Linked DNA regions of Ovis aries. The protein of the gene in region 1 binds, or shares a complex with, the protein of each later gene. Links are inferred from orthologs where the notes say so. Each region holds a gene or a part of one and is shown in the gene's direction. Other genes may lie near its edges. The genes, in order: CFAP36 and ARL3.

The links.
Region 2: the proteins of CFAP36 (region 1) and ARL3 are in contact, whole or in part, in a crystal structure (PDB 4ZI3), measured with the Mus musculus proteins. The link is inferred for Ovis aries from reciprocal best matches to the Homo sapiens genes CFAP36 and ARL3. Residues at the interface, in NP_080016.1 of Mus musculus: Glu44, Glu45, Ser46, Lys47, Leu48, Thr51, Glu52, Lys58, Val61, Glu62, Leu65, Glu76, Phe79, Gln80, Cys83, Thr84, Ala88, Lys89, Leu97, Val100, Leu101, Ala103, Glu104, Asp105, Phe106, Thr107, Ile108; in NP_062692.1 of Mus musculus: Leu3, Leu4, Ile6, Leu7, Arg8, Lys9, Leu10, Lys11, Ser12, Arg19, Lys35, Glu40, Pro47, Thr48, Gln49, Gly50, Phe51, Asn52, Ile53, Lys54, Trp66, Ile74, Tyr77, Ser80, Tyr81.

What each region holds. Positions count from the first base shown.
Region 1 is NC_056056.1:68,550,854-68,555,449, reverse strand, and holds the start of CFAP36 (cilia- and flagella-associated protein 36), read left to right. Parts: upstream 1-1,759; 5' UTR 1,760-1,902; coding exon 1,903-2,017; intron 2,018-4,596. UniProt on the Homo sapiens protein: May act as an effector for ARL3.
Region 2 is NC_056075.1:23,056,798-23,061,124, reverse strand, and holds the start of ARL3 (ADP-ribosylation factor-like protein 3), read left to right. Parts: upstream 1-1,294; 5' UTR 1,295-1,313; coding exon 1,314-1,316; intron 1,317-4,327. UniProt on the Homo sapiens protein: Small GTP-binding protein which cycles between an inactive GDP-bound and an active GTP-bound form, and the rate of cycling is regulated by guanine nucleotide exchange factors (GEF) and GTPase-activating proteins (GAP).

The sequences.
Region 1 (4,596 bases):
ATCTCACACACTAGTAAAGTAATGCTCAAAATTCTCCAAGCTGGGCTTCAGCAGTACCGGAACCATGAACTTCCTGATGTTCAAGCTGGTTTTAGAAAAGGCAGAGGAACCAGAGATCAAATTGCCAACATCCGCTGGATCATGGAAAAGCAAGAGAGATCCAGAAAAACATCTATTTCTGCTTTACTGACTATGCCAAAGCCTTTGACTGTGTGGATCACAATCAACTGTGGAAAATTCTGAAAGAAATGGGAATACCAGACCACCTGACCTGCCTCTTGAGAAACCTATATGCGGGTCAGGAAGCAACAGTTAGAACTGGACATGGAACAGACTGGTTCCAAATAGGAAAAGGAGTAGTCAAGATGTATGTTGTCACCCTGCTTATTTAACTTATATGCAGAGTACATCATGAGAAACGCTGGACTGGAAGAAGCACAAGCTGGAATCAAGATTGCTGGGAGAAATATCAAGAACCTCAGATATGCAGATGACACCACCCTTATGGCAGAAAGTGAAGAGGAACTAAAAGCCTCTTGATGAAAGTGAAGGAAGAGAGTGAAAAAGTTGGCTTAAAGCTCAACATCCAGAAAACGAAGATCATGGCATCTGGTCCCATCACTTCACGGGAAATAGATGGGGAAACAGTGGAAACAGTGTCAGACTTTATTTTGGGGGGCTCCAAAATCACTGCAGATGGTGACTGCAGCCATGAAATTAAAAGACGCTTACTCCTTGGAAGGAAAGTTATGACCAACCTAGAGAGCATATTCAAAAGCAGAGACATTACTTTGCCAACAAAGGTCCGTCTAGTCAAGGTTATGGTTTTTCCAGTAGTCATGTATGGATGTGAGAGTTGGACTGTGAAGAAGGCTGAGCAACGAAGAATTGATGCTTTTGAACTGTGGTGTTGGAGAAGACTCTTGAGAGTCCCTTGGACTGCAAGGAGATCCAACTAGTCCATTCTAAAGGAGATCAGCCCTGGGATTTCTTTGGAAGGAATGATGCTGAGGCTGAAACTCCAGTACTTTGGCCACCTCATGCGAAGAGTTGACTCACTGGAAAAGACTGATGTTGGGAGGGATTGGGGGCAGGAGGAGAAGGGGACGACAGAGGACGAGATGGCTGGATGGCATCACTGACTCGATGGACGTGAGTCTGAGTGAACTCCGGGAGTTGGTGATGGACAGGGAGGCCTGGCGTGCTGCGATTCATGGAGTCGCAAAGAGTCGGACACGACTGAGCGACTGAGCTGAACTGACTGACGCCGTAAAGACTCGCTGGCAGCTACGGGATGCAAACTGGCGCTGGGACAATCAGCAAATCTTACAGAAACTGCTTTCCTCGGGTTTGTATTTTCAAAAATCAACCTTTCAATTACAAACGTGTCTGGCTCAGCGGGTCGGAAAATGGTCGGGAGTGAGCGGTGGGGATACAACCGTGAACTGAAGCCTTTAAAACCTTCAGTCAGAGACCAGGTGAGGCGGGCCTTCGTGGCACCATTTCTTATCCTTGGTCCCACGGACTTCTCCCGTGAGAACATTGAGATTCCTTCCAGGATTTCCAGCCAATGGCTACAACAGCTCCGGGCCAATGAGATGAAGGCTATCTTTCGACTGGCTTCTACTCCTTCCCAGCCAATCGGAAACATTCTTCAAATGCCACTTTCTAAGCTGCGCAGGCTCTGAGGAAGCTGGCTTCACTTCCGGGCGGCTGGCGGAGGCGGCTCCTCTTGTTGCCATAGCGACCGTTTTACGTTAAGTGGTTTGTAGATTTTAGCCAGGTGACTGCGGAGACTGCTGGGGCACATCGTTTCCCTGTCCTCTCGGTTCCTTGCGGCCGAAAGGCCTTCTAGGATCCGGGGATCTGGCCTAGGCTTCCGCGGCGCCCCGCGGGGGCGGAATGGCTGCGGAAGAAGAGGATGAGGTGGAATGGGTGGTGGAGAGCATCGCGGGATTCCTGCGGGGCCCGGACTGGTCCATCCCCATCTTGGACTTCGTGGAGCAGAAATGTGAAGGTAAAATATGAATCTCGAATCGTCAGTCCTTGCTCACCTCTCTCACACCAACAGCCTCTCCACACACCGCCTCTCATCTCCTCGATCTCCCCTCCTGTCGACCAGGTTTAGAGCTTGATTTTTAGACTGTGTTGCTGTCACCGCGCCTGTCTTTTCCACGGTAATGAAAAGGGGGACGACATACCTCTCCCCGCTGGGCCCAAGCACGCATTCGAGAAACAGTAGACTTTAATGCTGTGTTGGGCCTCCCACTCCATCCTGCACCTTTCTGCCTTGGCCAGGTGACTGTGGGTTTCTTTCTTCATCAGCTTCCACAGTGACTTGGGAGGAGAGATGTCAGTTTGCTTCAGAGTTCCTTCTGATTCCAACTGTTGGCCAAAAAGTGGGTGGGCGAGGGATATGTGGTTACTCCGGTAGGCCTAGAGCAGGTAATCTCGGTGGCCTGTATTGCCCTTTTTGAGCTCTCTGTCTCGGTTATACCAAAAATGGAGGGTATCTTCCAACAAATGAGATATGAAGACGTGGCATAACGTTCCCTGTGAGGAAAGAGTACCTCCAGATTCTGGAGCTTTGCATTCAGTTCTTAGAGATAGTTTGGAGCCCATTTATGGAAAAGGAACCAGAAGCGATGTCATAAGAGTAATTTAAGGCTGTTGTCCTGGTTGTTTAGCTGGCCAAGACCTTAAGGGTAGTAATATCCATTAATCGTTCGAACGTCTGTCGTATGTTGGAGGGGTTAGACTTGTTTTTTTTAAGGTTCAGTGGGCTAGAGCTAGCGTCCGTGGGTACAAGCTAGAGGTAAACAAATTTCTGTGAAGGAAGTGCTTCATAACAGATAGTATCCTGGATAAATCGCCCGTCTCGGAAGGTAATGAGTTCCCTAGGCCTTAGCAGTGTTTTGAATGAATCTGATAGCACCTTAATGGAGTTATTACAGAGGGGAATTCAAATGTCAAATGGTTGGTTATCATGAATGATCTGTTAAGAGTCCTTTCAACCTTAAGTTTCCATGAATCTGGTAAAGATGAAATTTACTTTGACCACTGAATCTTTTCATTACATTCTCATTGCCATGAGCAACATTCAAATAGTATTTACTAGGTATTGTTCTCGCAGGTAATTTTTAAAAGAAGTTCAAAATAACTTTTATTTCTGCTCTATTAAAGAATTTAAAATGCTATTCTGAGACTGAGGAAGCATGTGGTGTTCTGATCTCCTTTAGGAGAAAAAAGAAATTATGTCACCGTTTGATTCCACTTATCCCACTGAACCTAAATGCTGAAATGGCAAAAAAAAAAAAAAAAAAATAAAATAAAAAATTTTTATTCCCACACTTTAAAAGTGGCTGCATCTCAGCTATAACACACCTGATTGTGTAATTTTATAGGGAAATAGTAATCTTCAGACTTGTAAACATGTAATGTAGTAATTTGGCTTCAAAATTATCTGAAAACAGGTTTATTAGCTGCTATATTGCATGTATGCCCAGTGCTATGTAGAAATAGATGCCACGAGAAATGGAAGTAACATTTCAGTGGCACTTGAAATAATAGTGTTTATATTTCACTGACTTTGTTTTGTTAATGAGGTATTCTTCACCTTAGGTAATTTAAAAATTAGTTTTATATAACTTTGTAAATATCAGCATTTATTTCAACATTTATTGAGTGTCTTTGAGCCAGAAGTTGAGGTTAGAAAAGTTAATAAAACAAATCTTTGTCCTTGAGAAGTTTATAATTTGGTGGGGAAGACAAGCAGGTAAATGGACTTTAAATATAGTGTGACCAGATGTTATTATAAAGGTGGACGTATGGTGCTGTGTATTCAAATAGTTCTGAGGAAGGAATCTGAATAGCCAAGGGAGTTGGGAGTGGGTAGCAGATCATGGCGGAGAAGGCAATGGCACCTCACTCTAGTGTTCTTGCCTGGAGAATCCCAGGGACAGGGGAGCCTGGTGGGCTGCTGTCTGTGGGGTCCCACAGAGTTGGATACCACTGAAGTGACTTAGCAGCAGCAGCAGCAGATCATGGAGAATGTGCCTCTTACAGTATTTTGAAGAATGGTTGGGAGAAGAGGTATTGGGTAAAGGCAAAGAGATCCAAGAAGGGCTTGAGCAAAGACCTGGGGCTTTGAAGCACCTTCTATGTTTTTACATTTGTCCACATTCCAAGTAATTGTGTCCTGTTATGAGGGCAAAGTTTGGGTTTTGGAGTGGTGGGAGATGAGACTTGGGATCCAATCTTGAAGAATTTTGTCTGGGATTCTAAATATTCTATACTTATTCGCTAGGCAAAGAACTGAAGAGTTTTAAATAGAAAATTACCAATGTTAGTTTTGTATTTTAGAAAGAATGGGGGAATTTTTTTTAGAGGTGGCTTATGGTTTACAGTTCATGAATTTGTCTTTTCCTTGATCACATTGTAGCTTTTTGAAGGAATATATATCTTTCTGATCTACATTGTTTCACACATATCATCATTGAGTAAACATTTGTTTTTATTCATTTTTGTTTCATTATTGATTTATATGTAATAAAGAAAGAGTCAGTTTCAGTAAAATTTGGATCAGCAAAATTCCAA
Region 2 (4,327 bases), on another chromosome or scaffold:
AAAGCAGCAAAGCCCAAAACCTGGAGGAAACTATTAACAATAGCTAAGCCCAAGGACTTTCCAGGCATTCCAGTGGTGAAGACTCTGCTTCCACTGCAAGGGCACAGGTTCGATCCCTGCTTGGGAAACAAAGATCCCCACATGCCACGCATGGAGCAGCCAAAAATAATAATTCCTCAAGAGTCAGAAAGTACTGGATTCAGGTCCCCACTCTAACCCTTAAAATAATCAATTTCTAGGGCTGTGAGAATGAAGTGAAATCTTGTATGAAAACCATCTCACTAGGAAGGATGTGATTTCCATGAGGGCCGATTTAGCCCCCTGCTGTGTCTCCAGAGTCTAGACTAAGAGCTGGCACAAATATGGTAATTCTTCTCTGCATGGGGAAGGGGTGGGAAATAGCACCCACAATCTCTCTCATTCTTTCTTGTCTAGAAGTGGAGGCCCATTTTTGCCTCCTTCAGGGCTGCAGACGGCGCACCGACCCTGCCAACTTAGTTCAGCAAAACCATCCATTCCAAACACCTTTCACCCCCGTAAGCGATCACCTCATCCCAGCCCTCACGGCCAGTCCTCAGGCAGCTTCTTGCCCTCCGGTAGGCAGCCTCCCACCACCAGGACTCCTCCAGCCTGGATTCTAACACGGATGTGTGCAGACGAGCGAGCAACCCATGACGCCCCCGCTCCTCAGCCTGGCACACGAAGGTACTGGAGGCCATAAGGGGTCCACAGGTAGCTCCTTCTCTTGCCACGTGGCTTTGGCAGGTGCAAGCCCAGCCCGCGCCGCAGCCTCGCCTGGGCAGAGTCAAGACAGAAATGCAAACTCCCTCCTGGGATCTGGGGAATAAAACCTGGCACAGGTAGATGTTGCAGGAGGCGTCCTCTCAAGATCCTTACCTGGACCCGGGAGAAACAGACTGACACAGCTGCTTCCAGAAGCAGCCCGCTTTGGCAGCCAAGCCAGGATGCACTTCTGGCCTCCGCCCGGGAACCTCCCCTCGCCCCGCCCGCACGCCCTCCCTCTGGACCAATCACAAGCCGGGTGGCCCCCGGCAGCCACGTGGGCGAGGTTTCACCATTCCCCAGGTCTGTGCAGCCCGCCGCCTTCTCCCGCCTCTCCAGCAGCCCGCCTGCGCAGTGGGAGGGCACATTGACGCGCTTGCGCACATTGGGGAAAGCGGAGCTGGACCCCGCCCCGTTCTGCTGCTTTGCTCCTCTGCCGTGCGTACGGGGGACGTCGGGGGCGGCGCCGTCGCAGTTGCCCCTGGTAACGGGGGAGGCAGGAGGAGGAGGAGGAGGGACTCGGCGGGAGGATGGTGAGTGTGAGGGCCTGGGTCCCTCCGGAGCTGGTCGGTCACCTGCTTCCCTTCCCCTGGCCCAAGGCAGGGCACTGCGCTTAAAGACAGGAGGGAACGGACTGGCGCTCAGCCTGATGTCCGGGTCCTGGATTGGTTTCGGGGGGCGGCAGGGAGTCCCGAGTGTGGGCCCTGGAGAGAATCTGGGCCTGGGGAGGAAGGCGGAGCTTGCAACCTGTCCGAAACTAGGGGAAGGGGCTGGAAGGGTGCTGGGTTGTCGCGGTACGGAGCCAGGGCTCCATCATTACTCTGGGGATTGGGATGAGGGCGGATCCGAGGAGCTGCGGAGAGCAGCTTCTGCACGCAGGATTAAATCTTCCCAAGGAATCGGCCTCCCAGTGCCGCAGGAGAGTGGGGTTCACCAGTGCCCGGCTAGAAGCGGGGAGAAGGGCCAGCGCTGCTGTCTTTGAGGTCGCGCTGGCGGTACCAGGGGAGATGGTAGCCTAGCTCTCCTGTTCCTCGCGGTGTGAGGGCCTCTGGGGGGTAAGGGTGTAAATCCCCGGACACAAAGAGGTGCCGCTTGGAAGGGATGTCTGGTGTATTTTAAGCCGTCTCGGTGTCTGAGTGGCGGGCGCGCTTCTGCAGTCCCGAGTTTTTTATTTCCTGAGGGTTCTGCAAGGTCTGGTTGTTGGTGATAGCCAGTCTCCTGTTCAATACGTGTTGGTGGAGACAGATTTGCTGCCCGATCCTTAGTATTTACTTCGGACCTGTTGCCACCTTCCTTTGCATATGACCACACCAGAAGCAAAGGCCTTAGTCTCAGTTTGGAGTAGATTAAAAAAGGAGAGTGGCCATCAGTTTGGGGCTAGCCTTGTCTCTGTCAGGCCAGAATAAAGCTTTCCCAAATACGTAAATTATGTGACGTATTTGACGCTTGACACTGTTCCTTGTTGATTTCTCTGCACTTAATTGGAGGGTATTAAAATGAAATTGAGTGGTTTTAAAACTAGTGGGAGAAACAATTTATTTCGGAGCGTTTGGAGCAGGCTGATAAATTTACCAGCTGCAGAAAGCTAGCACTCAAGCTTACAGTTCCTTCCCTGTCCCAACTCCAGTCCCTTTTTGACTTTTAGAACTGTTGAACCACTTCTATTGATTTATGAAGTAAGAAAAAGCTAGATGTCCAGAAGGAAAAAAAAAAACACATGTACATTTGGTTAGATTATCCAGTGAGTAAATTTTGATAGGAAAAATTTATTTCAATTGATTTAAAATTGTCACATTGTTAAAGAAGTAGCATTATTGGATCTGAAGTTGCCAATCACATTTCAACACTTGCTACACTGCAGTTTTATTAACCTCAGGCTAAACAGATTTTTAAATGTTTGCTTTTTATTAATCGTTTATACATGAGCTGTCCATTTAAAGGCTAAGTTTTTCTCAACAAATGAGTACAAACATAAATATTTACACAGAAAATAACTAGAATTGAAATGAAAAAGGCATGCCAAACCAACAGAGAAAGGCATGGCATCATAAAGGAGAAACGCATGAGAGCGGGCTAACTTTTCCCAGTTTGTTTATCAGTGAAGTGGACTGTGTAATTTCATGACTGTTTAATTTATAATTACAAGCCACAATAAATTAACCACTGTTTATGTTTCCAGGTACAGATTGACACTTTATACAACAAATTGACAGTGTACACAACACTATTGTATACAACTGTTGTATTCAGTGATCAAGACAGATTTTGTTTTTCTTTTTTTAATTTTTTTTCCTACAATAAATAATAAGGAATTAGGGCAGATTATTCAGGAGTCTTCATCTGGTTTCCAAAATACACTTTTTTTCTATCTCCAAAAGTATGAGCTATTTTTAGAACTCGATAAGTGGAACACGGAATTTAAAGGGTCAGTGGTATGATTAAGTATGTCATATCTGATACCCATGGGTCCCCATAGTAACTCTTCAGGAGTTCCAGGTTTATTTATTGTCTTAATCCTTCAGCTATGACTAATACATATTTATTCTTTTAAAATTTGGAATACAGCAACAAAAACACATTATTGATTTCTCTGAACCCCTAGAAGTTCAGCTATTTTACCCCTACCTTAGGATGCCAAGTCCTTGGTGAAATACTAAATTGACCGTAATTTTTGTGCATAACTAATCACTCTTGCCTGGAAAATCCCATGGACGGAGGAGCCTGGTGGGCTGCCATCTATGGGGTCGCACAGAGTCGGACACGACTGAAGCGACTTAGCAACAGCAGCAATCACTGTTAGGAGAAGGCAATGGCATCCCACTCCAGTACTCTTGCCTGGAAAATCCCATGGACAGAGGAGCCTGGTAGGCTATAGTCCATGGGGTCGCTAAGAGTCAGACACGACTGAGCGACTTCACTTTCTCTTTTCACCTTCATGCATTGGAGAAGGAAATGGCAACCCACTCCAGAGTTCTTACCTGGAGAATCCCAGGGACGGGGGAGCCTGGTGGGCTGCGGTCTATGGGGTCGCACAGAGTAGGACACGACTGAAGCGACTTAGCAGCAGCAGCAGCAATCACTGTTATTTAATAGATGAGTCCTCCATTCAGGAATTATTTATGGAGTAATTTCTGAATATATAAAGCTAGTGATATTTATCAAGCATGTTTGACATTTGAAGATTGTTCCCAAGATTATGTTTTCTGGTCAAAAATGGTCGGTGAAAAGTAGAAACATAAACACAACAACTGTTTTGAGTTCCCTCTATGTGCATGCTTCACACATCATCTGATTTAATCTTCATAGCATTCTTCTTGAGATATAAGTATTGTTCCCATTTTCTAGATGAAACTATGCTGGAGGTTACCCATCAGGATGTTGAATAAAAGTCTGTGAAACTCTAAAGCCCATAATGTATTTTTCATTAAGACTCTGATGAAGTAAGAACCCACTCCAGCTGAGGAGATGCCAGTATTTTGTTCCTCAGGGAACATTGTATTTATTTAGTAGAGAGATGAGAAAAAAGATTTGGGTGAAGTTCTCC